Linked DNA regions of Macaca fascicularis. The protein of the gene in region 1 interacts with the protein of each later gene in a biochemical or structural test. Links are inferred from orthologs where the notes say so. Each region holds a gene or a part of one and is shown on either strand. Other genes may lie near its edges.

Evidence for each region.
Region 2: the proteins of NHERF2 (region 1) and CFTR form a complex in vitro, tested with the Homo sapiens proteins (4 studies listed by BioGRID and IntAct, with this or other methods). The link is inferred for Macaca fascicularis from reciprocal best matches to the Homo sapiens genes NHERF2 and CFTR.
Region 3: the proteins of NHERF2 (region 1) and TBC1D10A form a complex in vitro, tested with the Homo sapiens proteins (2 studies listed by IntAct, with this or other methods). The link is inferred for Macaca fascicularis from reciprocal best matches to the Homo sapiens genes NHERF2 and TBC1D10A.
Region 4: the proteins of NHERF2 (region 1) and RPS6KA1 interact in a test that uses a peptide from one of them, tested with the Homo sapiens proteins (2 studies listed by BioGRID and IntAct). The link is inferred for Macaca fascicularis from reciprocal best matches to the Homo sapiens genes NHERF2 and RPS6KA1.
Region 5: the proteins of NHERF2 (region 1) and SGK1 form a complex in vitro, tested with the Homo sapiens proteins (2 studies listed by BioGRID, with this or other methods). The link is inferred for Macaca fascicularis from reciprocal best matches to the Homo sapiens genes NHERF2 and SGK1.
Region 6: the proteins of NHERF2 (region 1) and PTH1R interact in a test that uses a peptide from one of them, tested with the Homo sapiens proteins (2 studies listed by BioGRID and IntAct, with this or other methods). The link is inferred for Macaca fascicularis from reciprocal best matches to the Homo sapiens genes NHERF2 and PTH1R.
Region 7: the proteins of NHERF2 (region 1) and PTEN form a complex in vitro, tested with the Homo sapiens proteins (2 studies listed by BioGRID and IntAct, with this or other methods). The link is inferred for Macaca fascicularis from reciprocal best matches to the Homo sapiens genes NHERF2 and PTEN.

What each region holds. Positions count from the first base shown.
Region 1 is NC_088394.1:2,793,671-2,797,646, reverse strand, and holds the start of NHERF2 (Na(+)/H(+) exchange regulatory cofactor NHE-RF2), read right to left. Parts: upstream 2,801-3,976; 5' UTR 2,693-2,800; coding exon 2,480-2,692; intron 1-2,479.
Region 2 is NC_088377.1:158,928,648-158,932,634, reverse strand, and holds the start of CFTR (cystic fibrosis transmembrane conductance regulator), read right to left. Parts: upstream 2,801-3,987; 5' UTR 2,581-2,800; intron 2,251-2,580; exon of another isoform or gene 2,229-2,250; 5' UTR 2,180-2,228; coding exon 2,127-2,179; intron 1-2,126. UniProt on the Homo sapiens protein: Epithelial ion channel that plays an important role in the regulation of epithelial ion and water transport and fluid homeostasis. Mediates the transport of chloride ions across the cell membrane.
Region 3 is NC_088384.1:21,340,185-21,344,221, reverse strand, and holds the start of TBC1D10A (TBC1 domain family member 10A), read right to left. Parts: upstream 2,801-4,037; 5' UTR 2,744-2,800; coding exon 2,535-2,743; intron 1-2,534.
Region 4 is NC_088375.1:208,564,260-208,567,759, reverse strand, and holds part of RPS6KA1 (ribosomal protein S6 kinase alpha-1), read left to right. Parts: intron 1-2,601; coding exon 2,602-2,682; intron 2,683-2,848; coding exon 2,849-2,928; intron 2,929-3,500. UniProt on the Homo sapiens protein: Serine/threonine-protein kinase that acts downstream of ERK (MAPK1/ERK2 and MAPK3/ERK1) signaling and mediates mitogenic and stress-induced activation of the transcription factors CREB1, ETV1/ER81 and NR4A1/NUR77, regulates translation through RPS6 and EIF4B phosphorylation, and mediates cellular proliferation, survival, and differentiation by modulating mTOR signaling and repressing pro-apoptotic function of BAD and DAPK1.
Region 5 is NC_088378.1:38,322,395-38,326,586, forward strand, and holds the start of SGK1 (serine/threonine-protein kinase Sgk1), read right to left. Parts: upstream 2,801-4,192; 5' UTR 2,253-2,800; coding exon 2,184-2,252; intron 1-2,183. UniProt on the Homo sapiens protein: Serine/threonine-protein kinase which is involved in the regulation of a wide variety of ion channels, membrane transporters, cellular enzymes, transcription factors, neuronal excitability, cell growth, proliferation, survival, migration and apoptosis.
Region 6 is NC_088376.1:109,772,657-109,776,877, reverse strand, and holds the start of PTH1R (parathyroid hormone/parathyroid hormone-related peptide receptor), read right to left. Parts: upstream 2,801-4,221; 5' UTR 2,669-2,800; intron 1,344-2,668; exon of another isoform or gene 1,252-1,343; intron 1-1,251.
Region 7 is NC_088383.1:96,734,467-96,738,641, reverse strand, and holds the start of PTEN (phosphatidylinositol 3,4,5-trisphosphate 3-phosphatase and dual-specificity protein phosphatase PTEN), read right to left. Parts: upstream 2,801-4,175; 5' UTR 1,956-2,800; coding exon 1,877-1,955; intron 1-1,876. Other genes in the region: KLLN (killin), read left to right, coding at 3,931-4,175. UniProt on the Homo sapiens protein: Dual-specificity protein phosphatase, dephosphorylating tyrosine-, serine- and threonine-phosphorylated proteins.

The DNA.
Region 1 (3,976 bases):
GGTCCAGGCTGTGAGGGCTTCAGGGTCCTCCCAGAGCCTTGCCCTTAGCCCAGGGTCTTCTCCAGGCAGGGCTGGGAAGGGGCTGCAGGGTAGGGCAGCTGGGTAAGTCCCGTCTGGAAGTAACAAAGACGGCGCACAGTGGAGCTTCAGCTTTTCAGTCTGCCTGTTAGTGTGTGCACGTGCATCCATCTGTTTCAAAGTCTGTGTCTGCGTCCAGGTTTGAAGGAGAGGGGTGTCTCCCTGGGCCCCAGTTTGGGTGTGTCTGTGCCCATTCCTGTCATTCTCTGCCATGGGAGTCTAAACCCCTGACCCCAGGCCTTATGTCCACCTCCAGGCCATGACCATGGGCCCATTCCCACTGGACCTGTGAGGAGGGGAATGGCTGGACTCCTGGCTCGGGTACGCACACACAGCCAGGGAAGCAACATTCAGGTACAGCCGGCAAGGGGGAGGGGCAGTGAACAGCTATGGCATGGTGGCTGTCGGCGTGTGGGTACAGGTGCCTGTGAAGTGTCTGGACCATGCAGGGGGCCGGCGTGCACCCGCAGAGAGAAAGCAGTGTCCATTGGGAAGCGGGCGGGAAGACGGGCAGCCCTACTCCCACCTGCGGCCTGGGGGAGGGTGGACAGGGCTCCCCACCAGCCACCGGGCTCAGCAGGGGTGGTGAATAGATAGGAGGGACTGAGCCAGGCCCATCTGTCCCCTGGCCCTCCTCTCTCCCCATGACCCAGAGTGAGACAAGAGGAACCGAGTGCCCAGCTGCTTCTTGACTATGTGTCCCAAACAAGTCACCCTAAATCTCTGGCATCAGTTTCCTCAACTGTCAAATGGGGCAGTAACTGCACCTCTTGCCCTCCTGGGGCAGTGGGGAGAGTCCACCATGGTCTGTGTGTCCAGTCCTCAGAGACCAGCACCCCAGGGCCTTGGATAAGCAGGTGTTCCCTGGGCAAGGGCGGCAACGACTATCAAACAGCAGCCAGGCCCCAGCCCTGCCAGCCCTACCCTCAATCCCTCAGGTCCAGGCCACTGGCCTGATCCCCACCTTCTTTTTTTTTTTTTTTTTTTTTTTTTTGAGGCGGAGTCTCGCTCTGTCGCCCAGGTTGGAGTGCAGTGGCGCGATCTCGGCTCACTGCAAGCTCCGCCTCCCAGGTTCCCGTTCCCGCCATTCTCCTGCCTCAGCCTCCCGAGTAGCTGGGACTACAGGTGCCGCCACCACGCCCGGCTAATTTTTTTGTATTTTTAGTGGAGACGGGGTTTCATTGTGTTAGCCAGGATGGTCTCGATCTCCTGACCTCGTGATCCGCCCGTCTCGGCCTCCCAAAGTGCTGGGATCACAGGCTTGAGCCACCGCGCCCGGCCCTGATCCCCACCTTCTTCAGCAAACAACCTTACACAGCAGACACTGGGTGGAAAGCATGAGGCTGGCCGACGGAGGGACAGACAAGGCACCAGGTGAACAGGAGACCAACTGCAGGCCCAGCTGAACCAACTGCTAATCTTGGGGTTCCAGGACCAGCCATGCAGACAGGTTATGGATTCGCCAGTGCTGTGAGGGACAGGGGACCTGGAGGACAAGGGGTGTGTGGACACTGGACCCCCACCAGGGTGTGGTGGAAGTCCCTGGCCTGTGGGAGACAGACATACCTCAGGGGTCAGAACCCACAGAGAAAAGGCTCTGTTCTCCTTAGCCAGGAGGCAGGAGGCTTTAGCAAGTAACCCCAGCCGGGCTAAGCAGCCTCTGAGGAGGGGTAGTGCCTTTGGAGCTAAGGAATGTGGTTGCCACCAATGGCCAACTCAACCCGGTCCCAGGCATACCGGCTGGGACACACTAGAGTACAGACACAGACTTACCAGCCTGCAGACACACAGTGATGAGTACACTAACCAGGTGTGCACACACACAGAGCTCAGCTCTCACATGCCCAGGAGTCCAGACCTGTACACACACACACACACACACACACACACGCACGCAGACCTGTATACTCACACACACTCCAGCACACACACAACTGCAGACACACTGATGCCCTTACTGCAACCCCTCCTGGGTACACACAGGCAGGCGCGTGCACACTTGGCTGACCCCAGAGGGACCTGCACACACACGCCCAGCTGTGTTCACACGCACACGTGTACACACAACTACGCAAAAGCACCCAGGTCTCCACCTTTCTGGAGGGGCCCCAGGCTGCCCAACACCCTCCTTCATAGCACACTGAGGCCAAAACGCGACCAAAGAGCGAGGCCAACGGCCAGGAGCCGCAGTGCGGGCCCCTCCCTGCCAGGATGCCCCCCCACCCCTGTGCAGGGCTGAGCTTCCTGCGCGGGGACTCGGAAGGCGCCGGGCTGCTGCCTCCCAGCAATGTCCGCGTCCTCTCCGCGGAAGCCCCCTCAGGCCCCCGTGCGACCCCCGCCCGCCCCAGAGGGACGCGCTCAGGGAGGGGGCGGCGGGCCGGGGGCGAGCGCGGGCCCCCACCTGGTGGTGCGTCTCGCCCTCCACGTTGACGCCGTTGACCTCGACCAGGCGGTCCCCAGCGCGCAGCGCCGCGGCCTCGGCGGGGGAACCGGGTTCCACGCGCCGGATGAACTGCCCGCGGCGGCCCTTCTCGCCGTGCAGGTGGAAGCCGTAGCCCTGCTCTCCGCGCACCAGGCGGCACAGGCGCGGCCGCAGCGGCTCCGGAGCGGCCATGGCGCCCGCTGCCCACCAGCCGCCCGCGGGCAGGGGCGCGGGGCAGCTCGGGGGCGGCGGCGGCGCTGGGCACCCGGCGGTGGCTTCGGCGGCTCCCGTTCGGCTCCCGTCGCCTCGGGCTCCGGCTCGGGCTCCAGCTCGGGCTGCGGCACCGCCCCCGCGCCCGCCCCTTCCCCGCCCCCGCCCCCGCCGCCCGGCCGCCCCCACCTCCGGTCCCAGCCATCCCGGCCTCCGTGGCCGGTCATCCCGATTGGGGGTGGGGGAAGGCGGCAGGACTAGGGGACCCCCCAGCCACCAGGACCCCTCTGTCTCACTCCTGCTCTGGGCAGCCGCCTTGGTGACAGCGCCTTTGCCTTCTATCCCAGGAACATTTATTGGATACCTACTGTATGTGCAGCATCCAGGCAGGTCTTGAGGTGGGCGACGGGTTGGACAAAAGGGACCCCCCCAAAGGGGCCAAAGGGTAACAACAAGGGCCACAGCCCCCCCCCACCCTCCCGGGGAAGCCCTCCCAGACCCCCGTGCCTATCTCCTCTCCGCTGTGCCTGATCTGGATCCCTCCTGCAGCCAGAACTGCCCTGGCCCAGGGGTCTCAGGAGGGCCCAGGAGGCAAAAAGAGGTTTAAACGTGACACGCAGCTGTCCCTCCCTGCATCCTGGGGGCCAGTGGCTTGAGACTCCCTGGCCTACCCTCCGTGTTTGGGCTATCTGCACAGCGTCCATTCCCGCCATTCTTTCCCTTGGCCGGGCCGGCACCCCTACTTGTGTCCCAGCCCACCCCAGGCCTGGACTGTGACTCTGCAGGGTAACGAAAGGATGAGTCTCGACATGGGCCTCCACTGACTTCTTTGGGCTCTAAGCTCTGGGTGGTGGCCAGTGTGCACAGGCGTTGCTCCACAGTGTCCGCAGGCAGGCAGCAGGCCTCCTCTCCCCTGCCCACAGCCGTCTACGTCCCTGAGCCTCTACGTGAAGCACGAGTGTCCCTCCTTCCCCAACAGGACAGTCGCCACCACAGTGAAATCGTTTATGCTTGAGCGCATTTTACTTGGAACAACCCTAGGGGCTTGGCCACTTCACAGACCTGCAAACAGGCCTGGAGAGGGACCCACAAAGCTTCCTCAGCTCCCTTTGGGCCCAGGGATGTGAGATTCGGAGTCCATGCTCTTCACCACCCAGCTCTTCCTCTGTCTCCAATATAGGAAGACAGCTGAGTCCAGGCACAGCCCCAGTCTGCCCTCCTCCCCAGCCCAGCCAGGCCCCCCGCACATACCTGGTTCCCAGGGGT
Region 2 (3,987 bases), on another chromosome or scaffold:
AATTCTAAGGCATTTAACAACCTATGATAGAAACATATGATGTGTTTCCTGTATATCTGGTAAGGCCATGTGAAACACAATTTTTCATAAATTAAATTCTCATCCAGGCCCACTCATTGCATATCCAGATTAAGAGTCACAAAATTATACTCAAAGATGAATTGAACATCTTATATTAACAAGGTACATGTACTGTAATGAATGTAAAAATATGGTAATCCATAATAATAGCAGTTAACATTGGGCTAACCCTTCACATTCATTTTCTCAAGGGATTAACCCCTATGACAGTCTCCAAATTTTAAAGGTCAAGTCACACACAGAGATGTTAAGGGACCTGCCTCAGGCAACACAGCTACTAAACAGTAGATGTAGGATCTGAATCGAAATAATCTGACTCCAAAATCTACCACTTTTGAAAACTAAGCAATACTGCCTAACTTAATGCAAAAAATATGTTTTTTACAAGAATTGCAGTCCAGAAGGCCAGAAGGAAGTTTGTAATCATTGGTATTTTAGGTGATTGTCAGTTCCTATAAATAGTAGGAACTTAACTTTTAAAAACATACCTATTCTTGGAGCAACTTATGAAGTATTTTGGAGAACAGAAATGAGTATGCTCTTAACACACTTAGTAGCCTTTGTAATACATTTTCTTTGCAAACCAGCCTGATAGCATTTTTTAACCTATATTAAATGTGTCAGGTGATTTGTAAAAAGAAAATTATATAAAAACCCACTTTGACAGATCAATAGTAAGCTATTTTAAAGTTCATTAGTATTTAGAACTATCCATGGAATATTAATTCTTCTGAAAACTGCATTTTTAGACTGATTGGCATTTAGCTTCCTCAAAGTTCTCTGCTAAAAAGGTCTATAATTTATGCCAATTAACATTCTGATTTTATAAGAAGTAGGAAAACAGATCAATAGATAAGCCGATTTTATGGAAGAAGTAACAAAAGGTGCTATAACATCAATACAAAAAGGTAATTCCAAAGAGTAAAGTCCTTCTCTCTCATCCACCGGGAGGAGCTCTCCTTCAAGGGCCACAGTCTCTCCTTAGCACCGGAGTTCCAGGATTAGCTGCACATGCAGAGAACTAAACATAACAGAAATGTGAAAGCTAAATCTCTTCCCCCCTACACACTTATATGAGCTATTTATAACATATTTCACTTTTTTGATACCTCAGTATGCTTATTCATTGGGTAATTATGAGTCAAGTAATATCCCACGAGAGAGAAGTACCTACTCATTCATTCACACAGGTATAACAGGAACAAAGTAGATGCAATATCCAAAGAACACTTCAAATATGAAGTGCTACATCTAATAACACTTTGCCTAAGATTCCGAACTTAGACGCTGTTTTTCAAAATCTCATTAGATAAAGTTTGCAAGCTTCTATGGCTCAAAGTTTGCAAGCTTCTATGGCTCATCACATTAGGCTAGGAATACAATTTATTAAATGTCAGTTGGATATAACTTCAGTATCTATTTCTATGGCTTTTAAAATTTATAGCTTGTAAAGTTAACTTTTTTCAAAATAAATATTTCAACAAATTTGCTTTCAATTTTTAAAGAACAATGTACTTGTGACAAATACTAGATTTATCCAGTCTCATAACAATAAATATTTTAAGCACATATTTTCTACCTACCCCAAAAATTTTTTTGGCAGAATTCAGTCAAGAAATGTTTTCTGAGCACCTACTATATGCAGGCATGGCACCTGTATGTGCCAAGAAGATAATCAAGTGTCCAAGGCATGAAGGGGGAAAACCAATAAACCACACTTAAGTATTTATTATTAACAAGTTTTTTTAGTTTCTTAGAAAAATCAAATAAAATAACTGCATAGTAGCATACTTGGGTCTTGAGATTCTAACTTTTCAGTTGCAAGTAGATGTGGCTGTCTATTCAATCAGCTTCAATTCATTCTTCAATCTCTTCTTAACGCTTTCTGTTTTATTCCACAATACCCACATTTTCTTTCAAAACAATGAATGATAGCGCATCTTTTTAAAAACTGCTTATTTCTTTTCCCCAAATCCAGCCCATACACACGCCCTAATCTTTCGTGGGCACGTGTCTTTCCAAAGCTCGGTTGGCCACCCTCTCACCTGAAAAAAAGTTTGGAGACAACGTTGGCCTTTTCCAGAGGCGACCTCTGCATGGTCTCTCGGGCGCTGGGGTCCCCGCTAGGGCCGACTGGGCTCAAGCTCCTAATGCCAAAGGACCTATTACTCTGGGTGCCTGCCGCTCAACCCTTTTTCTCTGACCTGCTGTGATGTCATTTGCTTCCAACTCCCCCCACCCACCCCTACTCCACACACCACCCCTTCCTTTTGCTCCTTCCCCCGCCTTCACTGCCCAGGTTAAAAGCCGAGTGCTGCCTGGTCCGGCCCCAAATTTGCTCTAGCGGCTTTCTCCACCCACTACGCACCCCCGGCAGCACCCCGGCCGCTCCTTCCTCCTCTCCTCCTTCGCTCCCTCGCCGCCCCGCACCTCCCTTTTCTGATTCTGACTCCCAGCCTCCCTCCCTCGCGCGCGCTCCTTCCAGGTCCGTGTCCTTACCGCCCAGCACCAGGCCCATCCCGCAGGTGGGCGACAGTCGCGGCCGCTCTTTAGGTGCGGTTGGCAACGCTGGAGGACAGAAGAAGCCACCGGCAGAACTGGCTCCCCGGAGAGCCTCCTGGACCGTCCTTCGCGGCAGGGTCCGCCAGACCCAGCACTCGCTGCCACCAGCTTCCCCCGAGCCTGCCTTCCTCCTCTTCCTCCTTTTTCCGATGATCCTAGCTGGGTTCCTGTTACGTTTGCAAGGTGCATTTTGAAAAGGGAAGGAAAATGTGCCTTTCGTGTATCAAAATACAGCCTTAGAGAGCCGAAAAGTTCCGCGGCAGTGTGGGTCTGATGCATTCACCTTAGCGCTTCCTCTGCGTGTTGGAGAAAAGCAGCAAGCTTTATTAGTTTCAGGCTTAGGTGAGTGAACTCCAAGGATGACAAAGAAATCTGAGGACACGTACTTAAAGGGGGAAAAAAAATCTACAAGGAGGTAAGAGGAGATAGTGCTTCGCCTAATTACCAGCCCAGGATTTGTTCCTTGTCTGTCGTTTTTAGTCCAGTGTGCATTTTTAAGGAGGGCTTTGGAGTGTTTTAGCGACAATGACAAGCAACAATGTAAACTAACCCGCCCTCCTATAGATTTCCTAGTCTCAGTCAGCAAAACATCTTGACTAATCCACCGAAAGGAATCCAAGCAGTCTTTGAAGCGAAGGTAATGTGTTAACTTTGACCTGACTCAGAGAAACGCCATCTTCAACTCTCCAAGGGCAACTGGACATTCCCAGGCGTAGGCGCCTTCCTTCTGAGCACTTGGTGTAGGATTGCCTGTGTCTCTGACGGTATTTAAAGAGCCAACCCTCTAATCCCTGAACCCTATTGTGTAAAAGCAAGCACACATTGTGTTTGAATTGAAAAATTCAAAGGAAAGTAAAAATTTTGGCCTGATTACTTCATTGTCAACACATCTAAGGCAAGGGTCTTGTGAATGATCTTATTGTTAACTTGTGGTCACCCAACTACAGTACAAATAAAACATGCATTTCATGATGGAAAGACAAGAACATGTGTTGAAAATAAAGAATGTGTTCAGCAGGTTTTCATAGCTCTGCTTTGCACTTCAGTGGACAAAAGCATACCTTTTTTCTTGAATATTGTAAAGTAAGATTTAGAAACATTTAATCTTTATTATCCTAAATTTGAATAGTAGAGAAAAGGGCAAAGAGATAAACCACATTGCATTAAGTTAGACACCAGGAAAGAACTTTAGCACTTTTAACTCACCATCCACCCTGTTGTTTGAAATCCTCTACCTGTGTTTTCACTCTCCAGTATGACAAAAATTGAGACTGTCTTCACTATTGACTTTTCCCAGACATGTGACTGAACTCACTCCATCCACTTCCCCATCCCCAATCTGTT
Region 3 (4,037 bases), on another chromosome or scaffold:
AGGGTAACTGAAATGGACTTCTAATCTGGAGTCAGAGTCCCCACCATCACCACAGTACCCATGAGTGCTAACGTTTCACTTCTCTAGCATAGAACATGGACTCCTAGCCTTCAACCACAAGACTGGGTTTAGGGCAGTCACCCTGAAACTTCCCATAACTTCCCCTTTATGGCCTTGGGCAGGGACTTACTCTTGGCTTTTTTGAAACCACAATATAAACTAAGTAGGGAACATCGAAGCTTTCAGATACCAGAGATTTTGGGTTGACCGACAGGCTCCACAAAGTGAGGGAGGGAGAGAGAACTGGACCTGGGATCTGACCTCAGTCCCAGCCCTACAGACAGCAGCAATGTAGAGGGTGTCTGCAGAGCCACATCCCGGGTTTGTGGTTGTGGGGTAAGAAAGACAGATGTCTGGCTGCCTGGTTGGGGACTACAGCCAAAGGGAGGTGCTTCCACTGGGGCCTCACTCTGCCCACAAATACCAGAGATATGCCCTCATTTTTCTCTTCATTTCTCAGACCCTTAGAAGGAAAGAAAGAAAACTAACATTTTCTGGGCCACTACTTGTGCCAAGTGCTGTGCTAAGCACCTTCACATATCTGATCTCATTTAACCCCCAAGAGTAATGTTGAGAAGTGGGTGTTACTGTTGCCCTTTACAGTGAGTAAACAGGCTCAGGGATTCAGGATCTTGCCCAAGGTCACAAAGCTAGCAAGTGTAATTCCTTTTCCTAATATATCTCATTGCTCTGCACCCCAAGATGTGGTTGATTGCCTGATAAGCATGCAGTAGGAATTCTCATGCCCTAGCATTCTCCCACAAATCTGAGCTCTTCCTTCCAAGGTCCCATAAATGCAACTGGGAACTCCTTTCCCAGATCTCAAGACCACACCCCTCCCTGGGCCCTAATCCCAGGTGACTGCTCTTCAATTCAAAACACTCCAGGTCCCCACTAAGTTCTCACAAGTGAATCCCTGGGGAACTGTGACAACGCATCAGTCACGGGGAGGGTTCAGAATGAGGGGTGCTCTCTCTGGGTCCTGGACTAAGCTTAGCCTGCTGTGAGCCAGTAGGGAGGTATTGGAGGAGACAGATCCAGAGGGTGAGAGGGAACTCCCTTAGGGGAGGGGCCTGGATTTCTCCAAGGAAGAAGGAGGCCTGGTGAATAAGAGGCTTTAGGGCTGGGGAAAATCCCGGAAGTGACAGGGGTTCTTAGACAGTCAAAGGGCTTCCATAAGTCATGAGAGAGTCTGGGGTGACCTTGGACAATCTCAATTGGTCAGAGATGGGGAGAAAGGATATTCTCTGGAGTAGGGTCATGGCAGGGCCTCAGGAGCTCCTACTGGTGATTGGGATGGAAAGCACACATCAGGAGGGAGCCTTGTCATTTCTGTGCACAACACTGGTCTCACATGACAGGACAGCTGGGATGGGAGTGGGGTATGGAGTCCATCTTTTCTAAGGGGACCGCCCGCCTGTGCACATGATCTCTGAGGCCTGGGCTCAGGGGATTCTGTGGGGCACCGTGCGGCCCAGCTTGGAGGCAAGGTGCTAGCCCACTGCCCCACATTTCTCTGTCTGCTAGCTGGGTGTCTGGGTGCTCTCGGGATAGGACATCAGGGGGTGCTATATGAGCAGGGACCCTGCTGTCTCCCTGCCTGCCCCTGTCCCATGCCCAAGATCTGCCTTTGGGAGGAGGCACATGTTTCCAGGACACACACAGAGCCCATCTACTGCCTCCTGTGGCTGCTGAAGCTGACGGTCTGTCCTAGTGGTGGTGCTCCCTGTCGCCCTGTAGGTGCTGGGAAGGGGGAGTACCTGCCCACCTGTTGCCGGTGCCAGTGGAGGAAGCTGTGTATGAGGGGGTAGGGGGCCATTTTCTAACCCTTCCATGAGGAGAAGGGACTGTCTGTCCTAGGATGCGGCTGAGGGGAGGGAGGCGACCAATGTCAGTCCATCCAAAGGTATGTGTGCCTCGAGGAAAGGGTCAGTCTGTCCTGGGAGGGGTGGGGGCAGGGCAGTCAGTCCTGAAGTCGGTCTGAGGTCTCTCGGTGTGGGGGCAGTGTGGGGGGCGGGGAGACAAGGGCATCTGTGGGTTTGTGGGAGGGGGAGGGATGGAGAATACGTGTCTATGGAGGGGGGCGCCAGCCATCTGGGAGCCTGTCGGGGTGGCAGAGACAATCATCCCTAAGGCCTTGGAGGCAGGGGTGGCTTTGGGGCAGTGTCTGTCATTCTGTTCCACTGCTGGGAGGAGGGCACAGTCGGTCCTTCCTGGGGGCGGGTCAGTCTGTCTGGAGGGTGGAGGTGGCAGGTGGAGGTGTGGGCCCGTCCGCCCCCTGGGTCGGAAGTAGGACTGCAAAGGGGGCGGGTCTGGGAAGGCAGGGATGGTGGGGGTGGGGCAGGAGAGGGAAGGGGGATTGGTGGTCCCTGCTTGGGAGGGGGACGTGTCGGCAAGTCCCGAGGGCGCCTCCGTCTGTGTCGAGGCCCCCCGCGTGGGTACCGCGCTCAGTTCCGACCCCCGGCGCTACTCACGCGCCCTCGGCGCCCTGTGAGCCCACGATGAAGCCGAACTTGTCGATGCGGCGCTCGGCGAAGCCGTTGGCCTCCGAGTCGGATCCGAGAGAGCTGAGTTCGTCTGTGGTTGCGGCGTCGGGGCCCTGGGCCAGGCTCTCCCGGGTTCCCGACAGGCTTTCCCCGGCCGCGGGCGCGCGCGGCCCATTCTCTCCGTTGCTCTTCGCCATCCCGGCCGCGCCCGCCGCCTGAGCCCCAGCGGCCACCTCAGCCGCCCGGCTGCCGCCGACGCCCCGCCCACGCGCGGCGCCTATTGGCCGCCGCAAGGGAGGGGGCGGGGCTACAGGCCCACCCGGGAGCTCTCCCCCCACGCCCAATGGGCGCCGCAGACCCCGGGCCCCGCCCACCTTCCCCGGCGGGCGCCAGCAAGCCCGACGTGAGGGGGCGGGGCAGCCGTCACCGCAGCCCTCCCCGCCCTCCTCTGGGCTGCCAATCACAAGAACTCACCTGGACGAGCTCGGGCTTTTCCGGGTTGGCCCCAAGCGGGGCCTGTCACCTACTGCAGAGCGCGAGCCAGAGGCCCAGGGCTTCCTCCATGTTCCTCATCTGCCTCCTGAGCCCCGCTCCTTGCGAGACCCCAAGGACGTGATAGGGATTGTTTCCCCCATTCATATATGAGGAACTCTGAGGAGGTCCAAGTGAGTTCAGGGACGCAGAGCGGCTTAAAGGCCCAGCCTGAGCGAGAAGTTTGGCAGTCCCATCGCACTCACTGCTTCTGGGGTTTTAAATTATCTCGTGAGACCTAATTATTAATAATCACCAGCGTTTACTGAGCCACGCACGCCCAAAGCTCTACCTACATTCTCCTGCAGTCTTTTCCCCAGCAGTTTTATGGAACATAAACATACCATAAATTCACGTTTAAAGTGTACAAGATTTTTAGCATATTTACAAAGTTGTGCAGCCATCACAACACTCTAATTTTAGAACATTTTCATCACCCTAAAAGAAACCCCTACCAGTTAGCAGTCACTCCGCATCCTGGCTTCCCCAATCCCTGGCAACCACTAATCTGCTTTCTGTTTCTATAGATCTGCCTTTTCTGGATATTTCATATAAATGGAATTATACAATATATGGCCTTTTATGTCTGGATTCTTTCTCTTGAACATTTTCAAGGTTCATCCACATTGTAGCATGTATCAGAGCTTCTGGATTCACATCTGCCCCAGGTATGTCTGGCTCCACCCCTCCCTTTCCTGGGATAGGCCCACACTGCCATGAAAGACCCATATTGCCCCTCCTGGGAGCTGGGACTAGACCAGATTTTGTTTTTCCATTCATCAGTGATGGTCATTCGCGTGTTTTCAGTTTTTAGCCATTATGAATAATGCTGCTCTGACCATTCAGATACAAGCTTTTGTGTGGGGGCCTATGTTCTAATTTCTCTTGGATAGATAAGGAAGAGTGAAATTGCTGGGTCATATGGCAACTGTTTAACCTTTTGAGGAAGTGACAAACTGT
Region 4 (3,500 bases), on another chromosome or scaffold:
AAATAGTTAACTCTGGTGTGGTCCCTGTCGTGTCTAGTGAGGAAAATACAAAAATTAAAATAGAGGAAGGGGCCCACTGATGTGAAAAGTGCTCTGAAGGGAACCAGCTCTGTAGCCCTGTGTGCTGACACAGAAGGCGTGTTGGAAGGCAGCTGCAGCTTCTACTTGTAGCAAGGGCCGAGGATTGTGTCCCGAACAAGACTCTGGAAAGACGTGCAGGAGGAGCACATTGGCCAGATCTCCTAAGATAAGCAACTGTGAGCATCAATTCTAGAATGGCAGTGACGATTGAATAGAATTCATACTAGATGGATGGACTAGTGAAGGCTTTGGGACTATGAGGCTGGAGAGGAAACTGCCGATCCAGTACATGGACCAAAAAAGCCTTTAGTTTTGCACTGTGTGTATTGCTCAGACATTTTGTCTGGTCTTAGTAAGCATTCCTTAGCCTTCCACCTCTCCTTTTAATAGAAGTCAAGGCCGGGTGTGGTGGCTCATGTCTGCAATCCCAGCACTTTGGGAGGTCAAGGTGGGTGGATCATTTGAGGTCAGGAGTTCAAGACCAGCCTGGCCAACATGGTGAAACCCTGTCTCTACTAAAAATACAAAAAAAAATGAGCCGGGTGTGGTGCGCCTGTAATCCCAGCTACTCGGGAGGCTGAGATACAAGAATTACTTGAATCTGGGAGGCAGAGGTTGCAGTGAGCCAAGATCACACCACTGCACTCCAGCTTGAGTGACAGAGTGAGACCCTGTCTCATAAAAAACAAACAAAAAAACAAAGGCCACATGAGAGGTCTCAGTCAAGGGATAATCAATATTGTAATAAACTTAAGTTGAAACACAGTGTCCAAAATGAACCTAAGCAGCCAAGTCCAAAAGCCTATTTTTTTTTTTTTCTTTCCCACGACAGAGTCTCGGCACATGCCACCAGGCTGGCTACTTTTTTGTATTTTTTACTAGAGACAGGGTTTCACCACGTTGGCCAGGATGGTCTCGACCTCCTGACCTCATGATCTGCCTGCCTTGGCCTCCCAAAGTGCTGGGATTACAGGCGTGAGCCACCACACCTGGCCCTAAAATTTGTATTTTTTTTTTTTTTTTGAGATGGAATCTCACTCTGTCGCCCAGGCTAGAGTGCAGTGGCGCAATCTCGGCTCACTGCAACCTCCGCCTCCTGGGTTCAAGCCATTCTCCTGCCTCAGCCTCCCTAGTAGCTGGGACTACAGGTGCCGCCACCACGCCCGGCTAATTTTTTTTGTATTTTTAGTAGAGACGGGGTTTCACCGTGTTAGCCAGGATGGTCTCGATCTCCTGACCTTGTGATCCGCCCGCCTCGGCCTCCCAAAGTGCTGGGATTACAGGCGTGAAAAATTTGTATTTTTAATGCAGACAGGGTTTCACCGTGTTGGCCAGACTAGTCTTGAACTCCTGACCTCAAGTGATCCACCTGCCTTGGCCTCCCAAAGTGCTGGGATTACAGGCATGAGCCACCCCCGGCCCAAAAGCCTGTTCTAATCACACTAGAAAAATCAATAGGCCGGGCGTGGTGGCTCAAGCCTGTAATCCTAGCACTTTGGGAGGCCGAGACGGGCGGATCACGAGGTCAAGAGATCGAGACCATCCTGGCTAACGTGGTGAAACCCCGTCTCTACTAAAAAAAAAAAAATACAAAAAACTAGCCGGGCGAGGTGGCGGGCGCCTGTAGTCCCAGCTACTCGGGAGGCTGAGGCAGGAGAATGGCGTAAACCCGGGAGGTGGAGCTTGCAGTGAGCTGAGATCCGGCCACTGCACTCCAGCCTGGGTGACAGAGCGAGAGCAAGACTCTGTCTCAAAAAAAAAAAAAAAAGAAAAATCAATAAAACATGATACTTGGTGGGCTTCAATAAATTTAGAAGGCAACCTGAAAAAGAGAAGAGTGCTCTGAAGGAGAAGCACTGTAGGAATCCAGAAGGCCCTAACTCAGCTTGGCAAATTAGGGAGTGCTTCCTAGAGGAGGTGAGGCCTAAGCTGAGCCAAAGAACCTGCTGAGAGTCAGAACTGCCCGACAACTTTTATTCTTTGAAAAAAAAAAAACATATATGAAGGGTGCCCGCCTAGACCCATGGATCGGGATTTTAGGCCCAGGGAATCTGCCTCTCTAGCTCCCCAGGTAGCCGTTCTTACCAGCCCTGACTGGAATTTGGGAATTTTTATGCCAGATGGAAAGCAGGGCTGGTGAAGGCGTGCCAGGGGGAGGTGCAGAGGCAAAGTCTGAGGATGTGACAAAACAGAGCACCTGGGGAGCAGGTTGCTCAGACTGGCTGGTTAACAGGCCTTGATGGGGCGTGGTGGGAGAAGGGACCAGAGAGAAGGGCAGGGTGCCAAGGCCCCAGCTGTGGGCACTGCTGTGAGGGGTGGGAGCAAGGAGCCAGCCAAGGAGCCAGAAACAGACTGGGAAGGAAGAAACCTGAGGATTGAGTGTCCCCAAAGCCCTGGGTGAGGGGGCCTTGGGAGCTCAGGCCTGGAGGAACAAGTGGAAAAGAGATCCCTTAGCGGGGGCTTGGGAGTGACTGTGTTGAGTGTCTAGACTACTGGTGACTTCCTTTCTCGTCTGGCCAGTACGTGACCGTGTCCGGACCAAGATGGAGAGAGACATCCTGGCTGATGTAAACCACCCATTCGTGGTGAAGCTGCACTATGGTAAAGCTGCAGGCCCTATCTGAGCTCCTCCCCTACCCATCTTTCACCCTTGCCTGTGGTCTGTACACTCTCCCACCGCCTGCCTGGTAGGCCAAGGGAGCCAGGGCTGAAGGGGCAGGTCGTAAGGCCCGGGTGACTCTACCATTGCCTTTCTCCCTCTCCCCAGCCTTCCAGACCGAGGGCAAGCTGTATCTCATTCTGGACTTCCTGCGTGGTGGGGATCTCTTCACACGGCTCTCAAAAGAGGTGAGCTGACATCTACTGCCAGAGGGCCCCGGCATGGAGCTGGGGGACAACAAGGTCTCCCATCCCAGGGCCCTGTACAGAATGTGTTCAGATGGCTTGAATCTGGAACCACCCAGGCCTGCCTAGCAGCCCCTGGCCCGGGAAATACCATTCACCCTCGGATGGAGGCCATACGCTGGCAAGGTCTCTGAGAGTTTCTCCCAAGGAAACTCTGGGGAGCTAAGGGTTCCTCTCACCTCCGCACCTGCATTCTTCCAGGGCTGCTCTGAGCAGAGGTGTGAAGATACGGGAGAAGCCCAAAGTCACCCAGAGAGCCAGACACTTCAGCAGTCATCTCCCATATGTCATCCAACAGGATTTTGAACCAATATAAAAGGATTTGAGGCTGGGCGCAGTGGCTCACACCTGTAATCCCAGCACTTTGGGAGGCCGAGGCGGGCGGATCAGGAGGTTAGGAGATCGAGACCATCCTGGCCAACATGGTGAAACCCCGTCTCTACTAAAAATACAAAAATTAGCTGGGTATGGTGGAGTGTGCCTGTAATCCCAGCTACTCAGGAAGCAGAGGCACA
Region 5 (4,192 bases), on another chromosome or scaffold:
AGAATTTATCCCTGGGGCATTCAATGACTTGATACAAGGTCACCTTCTACTTAGTTAACTGTCCTTGAGGAGTAAAGAGAGTGCAGGGGCAGGAGAGATGTCTGATACCGTCTCCAGCAACTGATAGACCCAGGTTAGAAGGTAGATGAAGCTGCCTGCCAGTTATCTTGGTAGAAACTTCTTTCTGCATGTACTCAGATAAGACATCAGTACTCTGGGTGGTTCTTTGCAAAATTCAAGGTCTGCAGAGTCACCAACTGAAATCCATTGGTAAATTTACTTTTAAGCAAAACAAAACCAAATGGTAAATTAGTATTTCTATTAGTACATTTTGATAACAAAGAAAATAAAAGACAATTTAAAATGTATGTAACTTAAGTCCACATTGCTTAAGAACATCTGACTGAGGAGTTTTAGAATATCCCTAATACCATGAAATAAATGCCGTAATTAAAAGGTAGTGGAATTTAAGTACTGGATAATGGGCTATGGCATTTTCAAAATTAGCAAAACATTTGTTTATTATTGCAAATTAGGGCTGTGGCTGGTGGCGGACATCTGTAATCCCAACAATTTGGGAGGCTGAGGCAAGAGGATCACTTAAGCCCAAGAGGTCAAGACCACCCTGGGCAATATAGCAAGACCCCATCTCTAAAAAGAAAGAAAGAAAGAAAGAAAATTAATTTTCATAAAGGGCCCTTCCCTTGGAAAGAAATATTTTGGCTACAGGGAAACACGAAGAAGCCTTGTGGAGCTCTGTGAAGTTGCACTGACTTGCTTTCATTCAGCTTGCAGCTCCACTAGTGAGAGATTTCACATGGTACTCCCGCATCAAGAGCAAGGGCCAGGACAGGTTGGTTTCATTTTGGTTTTAATGCATATGTTTTGGCCCACAGACTTTGAGAAAGATTTTGCTTTACTGATGAGAACTCAGTCAAAGGTGCTTGGGAGGCTTCGCTGGCCCTCTAGCTGGGCCTGACACATTGCCTGCATTTCTAGCATTGCCTTCCCAGCTTGCCCATTTGGTGCAGCGAGGTAGTCCAGCCCACCCTGAAATTCACTGTGTTAGGCGGATGAGTTAACTGAAGAACCGTGTTTCAGGAATGGCACAGAAAGGGCCTGAATGAAGGGAAGGACAAATGAATGGAGAGAACCATTTTGGAGGAATTGCCCTAGGGTATTATATAGGATGGGGCAACTGGGGGCTGGAGGATGTTCCTTTTCTTACGTTGCTTAGGAAACACTGTCCTTAAGAGTGTCAGTCATCATTCCTTTAACAATCATTCATTTCTTACCTCCCACTTGTGTATAAATTTGCAGATTTACACAGACCACCAGTGTGGCCATCCCAGTGAACTGAGTTTATTTTGAAACATACATGCAAAAAATCATTTTTTTCTCACCTACAACCAATGCAACATTTTTATTTTTCATACTTTGAGTTGAAGAATAAGGAGTTTAAGAAATAAATGCATACAGCAACATAACCCTGAATTATTGCTCAAATACAGACCTCCCACTGCTCTCTCCTTAAAAAAATAAAAAATAAAAAAAAAAAAGGCAGTTATTCCAAGCAAAAGCAAAAATTGAGGCAACTTAAAATAGACAATTTTAAATGCTGGATTCCATCATTTCGTAAAAGGTCATTCTAGTCCTTTGCTATTTATACCATAGATAGAGACATAGCAAATTATTGGCTGAATGGATTTGGGAAAGCAGAAGCTGCTGCTTCTGACGAATGAAGATGATAATGCATCACTTGAGACTCAGTGGATGAAAGGTGTGGAAAAGTTGAACCCTTCAAAGATAAGACAGAGGAAGCTGCTAAATTAGCCCGTGACTGAATTACTAGCCATAACTGTACTCAGGCCAATTCTCTTTGCAACTGCCTTGTAATCTTTGTTGTGGCTTGAGAGAGAAAAATCCCCATTCCCAGCTCAAACCCTTTTTAAGGCATCTCAGCCCAACCCCCTCCTCCCAATAGCAACTCTTCATAGCCCCCTGCCCCTCCTCCAACAAATTCGAATCAAGGCAGGTATAGTTCTCAGCTTTACCACTGCTGTCAGAAGCACGGCTTACATTAAGGGTTTAGCAACAAAACCTTAGGCTTACTTCAGGCAAACATTCAAAAGCATTTAAGAGAAGCACAGAAAACAAAAGAAATAAGCAAAACCTGTCCTTACCCGCTTCTTAAAAAATTGGAAGGCTGAGCATTTCTTGACTGGGAATCCATTCATGTCTTTGTTTACCATTTTCCACCGTGGGGAATTCACAGTTATAGATCCAGGGTGGCACCCGCCTGGTTAGTGCATATCTGTTTCCCCGGTTTACCTCCTGGAGACAGTTAATGAAGACTGAGCGGGATGGAGAATCTAGCAGGGCTCAGTTCTTCACTCGCTCATTCTGCAGCACCAGCTACTGCAGCAACCTCTCCCCACTTTCAGTTGCCACCGGCAGCGGCTTTTCTCCTTCCATCATTGCTCCGAAACATATGCATCACCGCTGCAGCACCCTGGGGGCCGGACGGTGGGATACGGCCAATCTCCGGGGAGATGCTGTGGCTCCTACCGAGCGGGAGAAAGGTACCCCTCCCCGCCCCCAGCTACCTGGCTGCTCCTCGGCGGCCGGCGCGGGGAGCGAGTCGCTCTTCTCCAGGTGATGCGCTCCTGGAGGCTGCTTGAGGGAGGAGAGTTGTTTTTGATTGTGCAAGTTCCAGTGGGAGCTGTAGTTAAGCAGCTGAGAGAAGGAGTAAGAAAGAGCAGAAATCAGAGGGAGGGAGGGAGAGCCGCGCCAGAAAGGCAGAGGGAGAGAGAAAGCGAGGCTGGAAGAAGCAACGATTCATGAATATCTGAGCAGCGGATGGAGAGAAGGCACAGCCAGCTCAGGATGCGCTGAAGAGCAGTTGACTCCCCTTGGGAGGGCTACTTTAAATAGCTTCTTTTCTTTCTTCTTTTCTGTTAGGAACATTTAAATCCGAGTTTCATATAAATTGTACACCGGTTTTATTTTATGCTCATTGACATTCTTTTGAATCCTGTTTCTGAATAAAACCTCTCAACGGAAATGTAATCACATTTAATCTCGACCTGTCCAAACGTGGAAGAAAATGAAATAAAGTACAAGCGTAGGTATGACAATGGAAGATCTCTGACTATGTAGAAGCTCTTCTAGCCTCCCCTTCCCTACTTGTCATTAGATAATGGGCAATGGTGAAGGTAATTGTGTCTTTTTCACTAAAAAGCTTGTTAAAAAAAGAACACAATGAACATATACAAAGTATTTTATTACACACACACACACACACACACACACACACACACACACACACACACACACACGAGTTATTACCAAAAAGTATTACTGAATCCATTTAATGATGAGGAAGGTTTGATAAATAAAAGAGTAAACCATTCTTCCTATTAGGTGAAAAATTTCCCAAAACATCCTAACTCATGTTATCCTTTGCACATTGAGCTCCTTTTAAAAAAGCCATTTAATTGTATGTGGCTTATTTTTCCATTTTTACTCTTTAATATTGATATTTTATGTGAATGATTTTAAAAATTAGTTTATAGCTAAAGCAAGAGAACAAAGAAAATAAACTTGGCATCTGACCTGGCAGAAAACTACCAACATTGGTGTGTGGCTTTCTGCCATCACCTGACCTCACTGTGCCTTTGGACACTGCCTCATCCATAAAATGGAGGCAGCTACTCATTCATTCATTCACTCATTCATTATTTGCTATTTCATTCCATTAATAAATCTAACTGTGACAAGTGTCCTCAGGATGTGGAGCCTTTTCATAGTTATCACAAGGGAATATAATTGATAAATAAGTGAAAGGCACAATGCTAATTTGAAACTGATTATTACCTCATTATATATAACACACCTAACATCGTTAAAGTATTTACATGGCAGTCTCTGGTAAGAAGAGAAACATCAGGTTAAATTGGGAAATAAATGCATGGGTTTCATTGAATTAGACTATAAATCTCTACAGTTGGGCCAGAGTTTTCGAGAATAAACATGAAATCCTGTTTGCTAAATGACTTGAGGTTTCCAAAAAGAAAATGCAATACAACTAAATGATGGCATGATAACCAAGGGAAAACAAACTACTCATTTTAGAGAGATATGTTACATTGTCCAAGATGCAAGTATATGTTATGTAATCTACAACATTGAT
Region 6 (4,221 bases), on another chromosome or scaffold:
CCTGCCTCAGCCTCCCAAAGTGCTGGGATTACAGGTGTGAGCTACCAGCCCTGGCCCTCCCCATGCATTTCTATGGCTGCCTCCCTTCTCTGTGCCCACTGCCCTCATTTCTTGTTCTGGTGTTCAAGGGCAGTGCTATTTGAGACAGTTTCCTCCGAAAATGACTCTCCCTGACAGGAACTGTCTGCTAGACTCCTGGCCTTCTTCACATATCCACTCTCCTGCTTTTGTCCTTGCTGCTTCCTCTGCCAGGATCATACTCCTCTGCCTGGTGTAAAGGACACTTCCCTCCCTCCTTGTGTGCCCACATCCTCCATTACTGGGGAGGGAGGTTGTGATTTCAGGGCTGCCTCCTATGGTATGTAGGCTCCTTGGGACAGAGGCCCAGGTGCCAGAATGGGCACCTAAAGAACACTTGTGGTTCTTCGGTGTTATATTTTAATGGTCTCAGCTTTATTATGCCTCTGTTTCTTTTCTTTTTTGAGACAGAGCTGTTGCCCAGGCTGGAGTGCAGTGGTGTGATCTTGGCTGACTGCAACCTCCACCTCCCAGGTTCAAGCAATTCTTTGGCCTCAGCCTCCCGAGTAGCTGGCATTACAGTTGTGCACCGCCACGCCTGGCTAATTTTTGCATTTTTAGTGGAGATGGGGTTTCTACATGTTGGCCAGGCTGGTTTCAAACTCCTGGCCTCAAGTGATCTACCTGCCTCGGCCTCCCAAAGTGTTGAGATTACAGGCGTGAGCCACCACACCCAGCATTTTTTTTTTTTTCCAGACAGGATCTTGCCCTGTCACCTAGGCTGGAATACAGTGGCACGGTCACGGCTCACAGCAGCCTGGACCTCCTGGGCTCAAGCAATCCTCCCACCTCAGCCTCTCATGTAGCTGGGACCACAGGCATGAGCCACCACACCTGGGTAATTAAATTTTTTTTTTTTTTTTTTGTAGAGACGAGGTCTCACTTTGTTGCCTAGGCTGGTCTCCAACTCTTGGTCTCAAGCAATCCTCCTGCCTCGGCCTCCCAAAGTGCTGGGATTACAGGCATGAACCACCACACCTGGCCTATGCCTGTTTCTGTGTCTCTAAGTTTTATGGTTCTGTGACCACTGATCTCCCACCCTGCTTTCCCCCTTGGTGATGAGAAAAGAACATTAATGGAGGGATTGGAAGGACTGAGAGATAAAACTAGAGGCTGAGGGAGGAGATCTTTTCAGATCTGACACCAGGGAAAACTTGAGATTTGGAAACTTACTGTTTGTACTTGGGAGGACCAGAGTGGGCTGTGGAGAGGGCTGCAGAGAGGAATCTTTGATGGGTGCTGGGCCCCTTAAGGGCATTCCCCTTGCCATAACTCATGTGCCTCACCCCATAGTCCCCTGCTGGACATTCCACAGCTGTGGGTGGGGCCACAGATCCTCTCTCTCACCCTCAGGCCTCTGGTTAAAGTGCCACCATGAGGGTGGGGGTGTCACACATTAACTGGTAGCACCCAAGCACCTGGCAGAGTCAGCTTGCCCTTTTTGACAAGCAGGCCCCAGGGGCCTGGTTAGTCAGTTTCTGGTTAGTGTCAGGTCAGTGTTAGTTTCACTGGCGTTTGAAAAGGCCTGGCTGGAGGTGGGGAGTAGGAGTGAGTCCCTGTCTCTAATCCCCAGGCTGGGGCCTAGGAGGAGGAGCCAGGGTGGTCACTGGATCTCAGAACTGCAGTAGGGGCCGGACTCTGGCCCCACCCCTGCTGGTGTGGCAGCCCCAGGCTGACAGGCCTCTGCTGCAGCCATCCCACTGTGACTAGGGCTCTGGCCAAGGTACACAGACCCTGGGGCCAGGGTGGGCATCAGACACCAACAAGCAAGGCAGAGGCTCAGCTCTCTGAACAATGCAGCCTGGTTCCCTCCCTCAGAAAACCCCTTGCCCTTGCCCGGACCAGGGATTCTCTGGGACTAATGGCTCACATCTATCTATTTCTGAGTCCTTATATTCCCCCACTGCTTCATCCCAACACTAGCCCCAAAGTCAGCCTGCATCCAAGCTTAGCCCTGATCCCAGACTAAGCTCTATCTCCATGATGAGCCCCAGCCTCAGGCTGAGTTCTTATCCCAATCTGATTTCTAGCCCCTGGCTGAACTCTGACCCCAAGCTGTGCCTCCACCCAGACCTCTCTCAGCTTCCAGGCCCCTCTGGAAGCTTTTTGAGGCAAGAGGCCAGTAGGGGAGGGGATGGCCAGGCCATAAGTGAAGCGAGGTGCCACTTTTACAGCCATTTCGGCTGCTCATAAACACCCCCTGACACCCGGCGGAGTCGCTGGAGGCTCCCATGGCAGCTGGCTGGGCAGCCCCCTCCCCTTGCAGCAGAAGCACGGCTGCCCGGCTTTCTTGCTTCTCAGGAAGATGAAGGGAGGGACGATGGGGGCACGTGGGGCCAGCAGGCTCTGTCCCAGCCAGGGAGCTCTCCCAAAGAGCTAGAGGTATGGGCTTTCTGTCCCTGCTGGCCTCATGGTTACAAGCCCCCTGCTGTCATAACACCAGGTCCACAGATGTGTCTCCATGCAGGCATGTCTTGTCTACCCCACAGCACGGCCGGCCCAGGTGCTTACATACTCACCCCCGGGGAAACCACAGACTTGGACCTCCCAGCTGTGCTCAGGCCCCCAGGCTCCCCTGGCCCCCACTCACCTGGAGCCCACGGGCCTTCCAAGTCGGGCCTACAACTGCAGAGCAGACTCAAGTTGGCCACGGGGAGGCCATGGATAGTCCCTGAGCAGCTTCTGTGGCTCAGGCCTAAGCAAGGATAGCGCTGCTGAGGACAGGAAAAGGCCTGAGTCAGAGCTTCCACTTGAAAAGAAAAATTAATTATTTTTTACCAAGCCCTACACTGGCCTAGGACTTTGTCCCAGACCCCTAGTCAGGAGTAGGAGGCAACAGAGACAGATCCAAGCATGCCAGTGTTCAGATGCCCTGGGTTGGGCCCTCATCTCAGCACCCATGGGTCTGCCTGCCAGGTAACCGGGCCCACTCAGGCTGCCAGACATGTGTGTGTGCCTCAGTAGTCCTCCCCTTGCCCTGCCACGCCTCTCTCTTAGTCTCTGTGTCCCTGTCTGACCCTCTGGTCCTTTCCACATCTCAGGAATATCAGGCCGCCATGAGGTATGAACACAGCCCCTACTAGTGACTTCACTCAAGTTTAAGGCACCCAGAGAAATCAGAGGGGGGCTGGAGGTGGTTCTTGCCTGTGTCACGGGCAGGACAACTGAGGCCCAAGAAGGCCTGATCTGCCAGCACTGGGTACCCAGTGGCTCCTAGACGGAAGAGATTGGGGTGGGGGCGTCATTCCACTCCTGCCCGTGTCCTGACCCCTACAGCCCCACAGTCACCCCATATCTGACTCCTTGCCCACTGGAATGTGGGCTCCTGGTGAGGAGTCAGCCAGGAAGCCCTCTCTATCTGCCTCCCAGGCCCTTCCAGGCCCAGGGTCTGCTTAAGCCGTCACAGGTCCCAAAGGCAGGGGGCTGTGGACAGGATGACCTCTCTGTGGGTCTGTAGAACGAGCTGTGTTCAGAACCAGGGCTGGTTGCTCAGGATGAAGATGTGGGCAGACAGGGAGACAGAGACCCTGCAAGATCCCAGAAGCCTCATCCCCAGCCCTGTGACCCGGCTGGAGGCTGCCCTTCTGCCTGAGCCCAGTCTGAGCTGGTTTGTGTCTGGAAGTCCTAGGCTCAGCCTGATGAGGTATAATGATTCACGTGGCAGCTGCCACTCAGCACATTCCAGCTGTAGCCCCCAGCGCCCTGCATGTGAGGCAGCTGGCCCCAACCACCCTCAGCCATTGGGCACGTTCCTAGGGCCCCCCTCCCTGGGTCTTCCAGGCTCCTGGGGAGGGTACCACTCATTAGAGTTTCCAAAGTACTTTTTGTTTCGCAAGTTAGACGGGGAGGCAGGGAGCTCGGTGATACCTGGCCTCCAGGTGGGGGAAACGGGACCAAAAAGCAGAATGGACTGGCCAGAGGACATAGTGAAACTATGACAAACAGCACTTACGGTGCTCCTGCCCCAGCTGCTCTGAAGTGCACTGCTCCAAGGGGTATCTCGGGACACGTAGGCCATTCTGTGACCACACCAGCGGGAGTCAGTGGGCAGTTGTGCTCAAAGGAGGGAGAGCTCCCCTGTGCTCTGTCAAGCCTCCCTGTTGCCCTGGCTCTCGACCGCCAGAGCCTCTCCTTCCCCTGAGT
Region 7 (4,175 bases), on another chromosome or scaffold:
CTTCTGGGCAAGCGGGTTTAGCCTTAGTAACATTTTTATCTTCCAGTTTAGCCTTAGTAACATTTTCAATTAATGCCAACTTCAAAATTTGCAAATACTGTTTTAAAATAATATTACTGACTTAACAGAAAACTAAATTTTGGGAGGCTACTTCTTCAGTAAGTTTTATATTCATTTCAAAACAAAAACTTGGGCAAAATTAACTGTGCACATGTATATGCAGCTAACATAATCCAAGGGAATAAAACCTCTCCCGATATAAACGTTGTCTTAAAAAAAAATCTTCCCCACAATTTTTAGCAGGACATATAGACACTGCAGTGTCACGCTACCTTTAGACAAAATGCAACTGATACTTGCTAAGAAATAATTTTTATTAAAAATACTTTGCTAGTACTTATGCAATTACATAATTTTAACTAAATATTGTCCACTGCCACAATTCGCATTACCAAACTCATATTACCAAATTTTAGGCCTTGATAGAGCCTAAATGCTTCAGTCACTTCAGACCAATAACTTCTGTTTTCACATACCTTATACACTGGCCTACCAATAGCTCTCAATTCCTGTCAATACTTTCCATTCTGCAAAATGAGGGCCCCATCCCCATCCCTAATCAAAACCAGTCTGTTGTACCTGAAACTGCAAAGATTCATGCTTTTCGATGACCACTAACTTTTGAAGCCCGAAGGCCTAACTTTTAGACAACTAAAGCTATACACTGTTAAAATTCTTGGGCTTCTGTCTTATTCAACAAGCTGACTCAGTAAATTTAATACACTGTATGAAAAAAGCTAACATACCTACAATCTAAAGCTGGAGTAAACTTCTCTTGCCAGCATTTCTGGATATTAGCTGGTAAAATTCACTTGACATTCTACACAAATCAGTGAAATTAACAGTACCAAAAGATGTCAGAGAACCTGAAATCTAAAAACGGTGAGCAGCAATTCTGGCATCACAATACTTAAATTTCAAGCATGAACTGAAGTTTTATCTTTGCAATCTTCACTTGCCACACACAATACCCTTGAACCTACACATTGTCATCTGGGATCAAAAACTACTCAATATCCATTCCATGTTTATGACAAGAGCACTGAACATTAAACGCTACTGAAGTGCAAATTTCAAGCCCTATCCTACATCATCCCATAGGGAGAGAAAAAGGTAAATATAACAAAGATCTAGTAAGAACGCCTTATAAGGTATATTATGGCATTATTGATTTCAAACTACAAAACTTCTAAATACAGTCCAAAGTTGTAACTTAAGTGTAAAACATTAACAAAACTACTTTTTGCACTCAATGTGCACCATATATACTGAAAATTATTCTGCTTCTAAAGTTATGCAAATCAGTCATATTTTAAAAGAATCTATCAATGCAACCCAGGAAACTAAAACAATCACTGCAAGATTCTGATGCAATATGCATACGTGCAACACTAATTTTCATTTTATTCTGATCTAAACCCTTGATCTAGGGCCTAAGCCAAGATTTAATCGAAATATGCTCAACCTCAAAGCGTCTACTTTTTTGTTCATTTAGGAGACCGGATTACCGAGCTCTCTAATCCACTAACAGCATACTGTATTCTGTATTAACGGACAATAGCCCTCAGGAAGAGACCGTATAGACAGCCTAAGCAAGCAATCGGTGCCTCGACACTTGCAACCAGGCAAGAGTTCTGTCTAGCCGAACACACCCTAGGTTGAATACAAGAAAAGAAACACAAAATATATGACCTAGCAACCCGACCAGGGTTAAATGTTATAGTCGCCCAAACTAGGGACATTTTCGCATCCGTCTACTCCCACGTTCTAAGAGAGTGACAGAAAGGCAAAGAGGAGCAGCCGCAGAAATGGATACAGGTCAAGTCTAAGTCGAATCCATCCTCTTGATATCTCCTTTTGTTTCTGCTAACGATCTCTTTGATGATGGCTGTCATGTCTGGGAGCCTGTGGCTGAAGAAAAAGGAGGAGAGAGATGGCAGAAGCTGCTGGTGGCGGGGCTTCTTCTGCAGGATGGAAATGGCTCTGGACTTGGCGGTAGCTGATGCCCCTCGCTCTGCCGCCGCTTGGCTCTGGACCGCAGCCGGGTAATGGCTGCTGCGGCGGCTGCTGGATGGTTGCAGCGACTGGGCCTGCTTCTCCTCAGCAGCCAGAGGCCTGGCAGCAGCGGCAGCGGAATGGGGAGAAGACGAATAATCCTCGGAACGGCTGCCTCCTCCGGCGGCCTCCGGAGCCCGGGCCACGGGGGGTGCGGCGGCGGCGGAGGGGAGGTTTAAAACCGGCCCGGGTCCCTGGATGTGCCGCCGCCGCCGCCGCCGTGTTGGAGGCAGTAGAAGGGGAGAGACCAACTCTCCGGCGTTCCCAGCCCTGGAAATGGTGACAGGCGACTCAGACCCCCTCCCTGGAGCTGCAGCCGCCGCGGCCGCCGCGGCCGCCGCTTCTCCCCCCCGCTCCAGGAGCGGGAGGTGCCGCCGCCGCCGCCGCGCCTCAGCCGGCTCCCGCCCGAGCCCACGGCTTCCACCTTCCCCTTCAAGAGAAGCCGAGGAAGCGGCTGCACGGTTAGAAAAGACGAAGAGGAGGCGAGAAACGCCGCCGCTGCCGCCGCCGCAGGCCGGCCGGCTCCCCGAGGGCGCTGCCCCCGCGGCTGCTCACAGGCGCTGAGAGGGGCTCCGGGCCGCGGCCGCCGCCGTCTCTCATCTCCCTCGCCTGAGCCCGGCCTCGCCTCACAGCGGCTCAACTCTCAAACTTCCATCATGGCTGCAGCTTCCGAGAGGAGAGAACTGAGCGCAGCCGCGTCCCGGCGCCCGAGCGCGTATCCTGCCGCAGTGCATAAAGAGTCCCGCCACATCACCGCCCGCCGGCCTGCCCGCCCCCTCCGCCGCCGCGCCGGGAGCCCGGGCTCCTCGGGAGACCGAGGGGAGGCGGGAGCTGAACGAGAGGCGGACTGGACCGTGCCGGGCGAGGGGAGGGCAGGGCAGGGGGCGGTAGGCGGGGACAGAAGCGGTAGCTCCGGGTGCGAGCGCAAAGCCCCCAAGCCGTAGGCTCTACTGAGCATGCCCAGTGTGGCTGCCTAGAGCTCGCTCGGGCCGGTTCCGAGCCGCCAGCCTGCAACTGCACTTGCCGCGGCTGCTTTTGCAGCAGCGCGAGGCGAGGATAACGAGCTAAGCCTCGGCCTCTGCCCAGAAACCCAGCCGGAGGCAGGGTAGGCTGTTGCGGGGCGGGGGTGGAGGACTGATGATGAAAGCTGAGATGGGTGCGTTGAGCAGTGTCACTGACTCGAGTCTCAGGTTACCTGTGCACAGGTGGAAAGGACCAGGTGACCACGCTGGTCAGTATACAGGGAAATGCAGGGACGGTCCTTGCAAGGGTAATACCCTCCCCCCTGCCTCTGCCCCTGGATTTCCGCGGCGTGGACTGCATTCGCTCTTTTGCATCGCTGTCGATCACAGTCGTTCGCAGAGATTTGACTGTAGCAGCCTTTGCCTAGAGATTCCTCCTTTCCCCAACCCTGTGTCCTCAGGATGTCAGTCTTAGCACAAAGAGCAACCTGCTATTGTGTTTCCAGCGTGCATCACCTCATCCGGCTCCCTTGTAGCGCCCCACCTCTCGCTTCCCCGGTAACTCGGCTTGTTTGCCCTAAAAATGAAAGCTCTCAGCCGAGCGTGCTGAACGTGAACACATCGCCGTTGAATTTCCAGAGCCCAAAGGGCACCTATCTAAATGAACTGAAAGAGGATCCCCGTGAGTAGGACGCACCCCGCAGCCCTCTCCTGCGCCCGCTCCGGTGCCCCTAGGAGACTAGAGCATCTCTCCCCCTCGGGCTCCAAGTCAGTTCGCCGCGTCGGACTCAAGCTCGGTTCTTAGAGACCACCTAGCCCCGCCCCCCCTTGGCCTCCGTGAAAACCCGGCGGGATGGATCGCCCGGGGCCAGGCTCCACGCGCCCCGGCCAGACCATGCACGTTCGGGGTTACCAGGTTGAGTGGAAAGTACGGAACGGTAGGAAGCTGCAGCCCAGCGAGTGGGCGGGGCAAGGAGACCTAGGAGGGTTCAAAAGGGGGTGGAAGGATACACGGGCCACAGTCGGAACTACTTTCCGAAGGAGGTCACGTGTGTTCCTAGTTGGGGAACTTTCCAAATTCCCACTCCCCAGTGATAG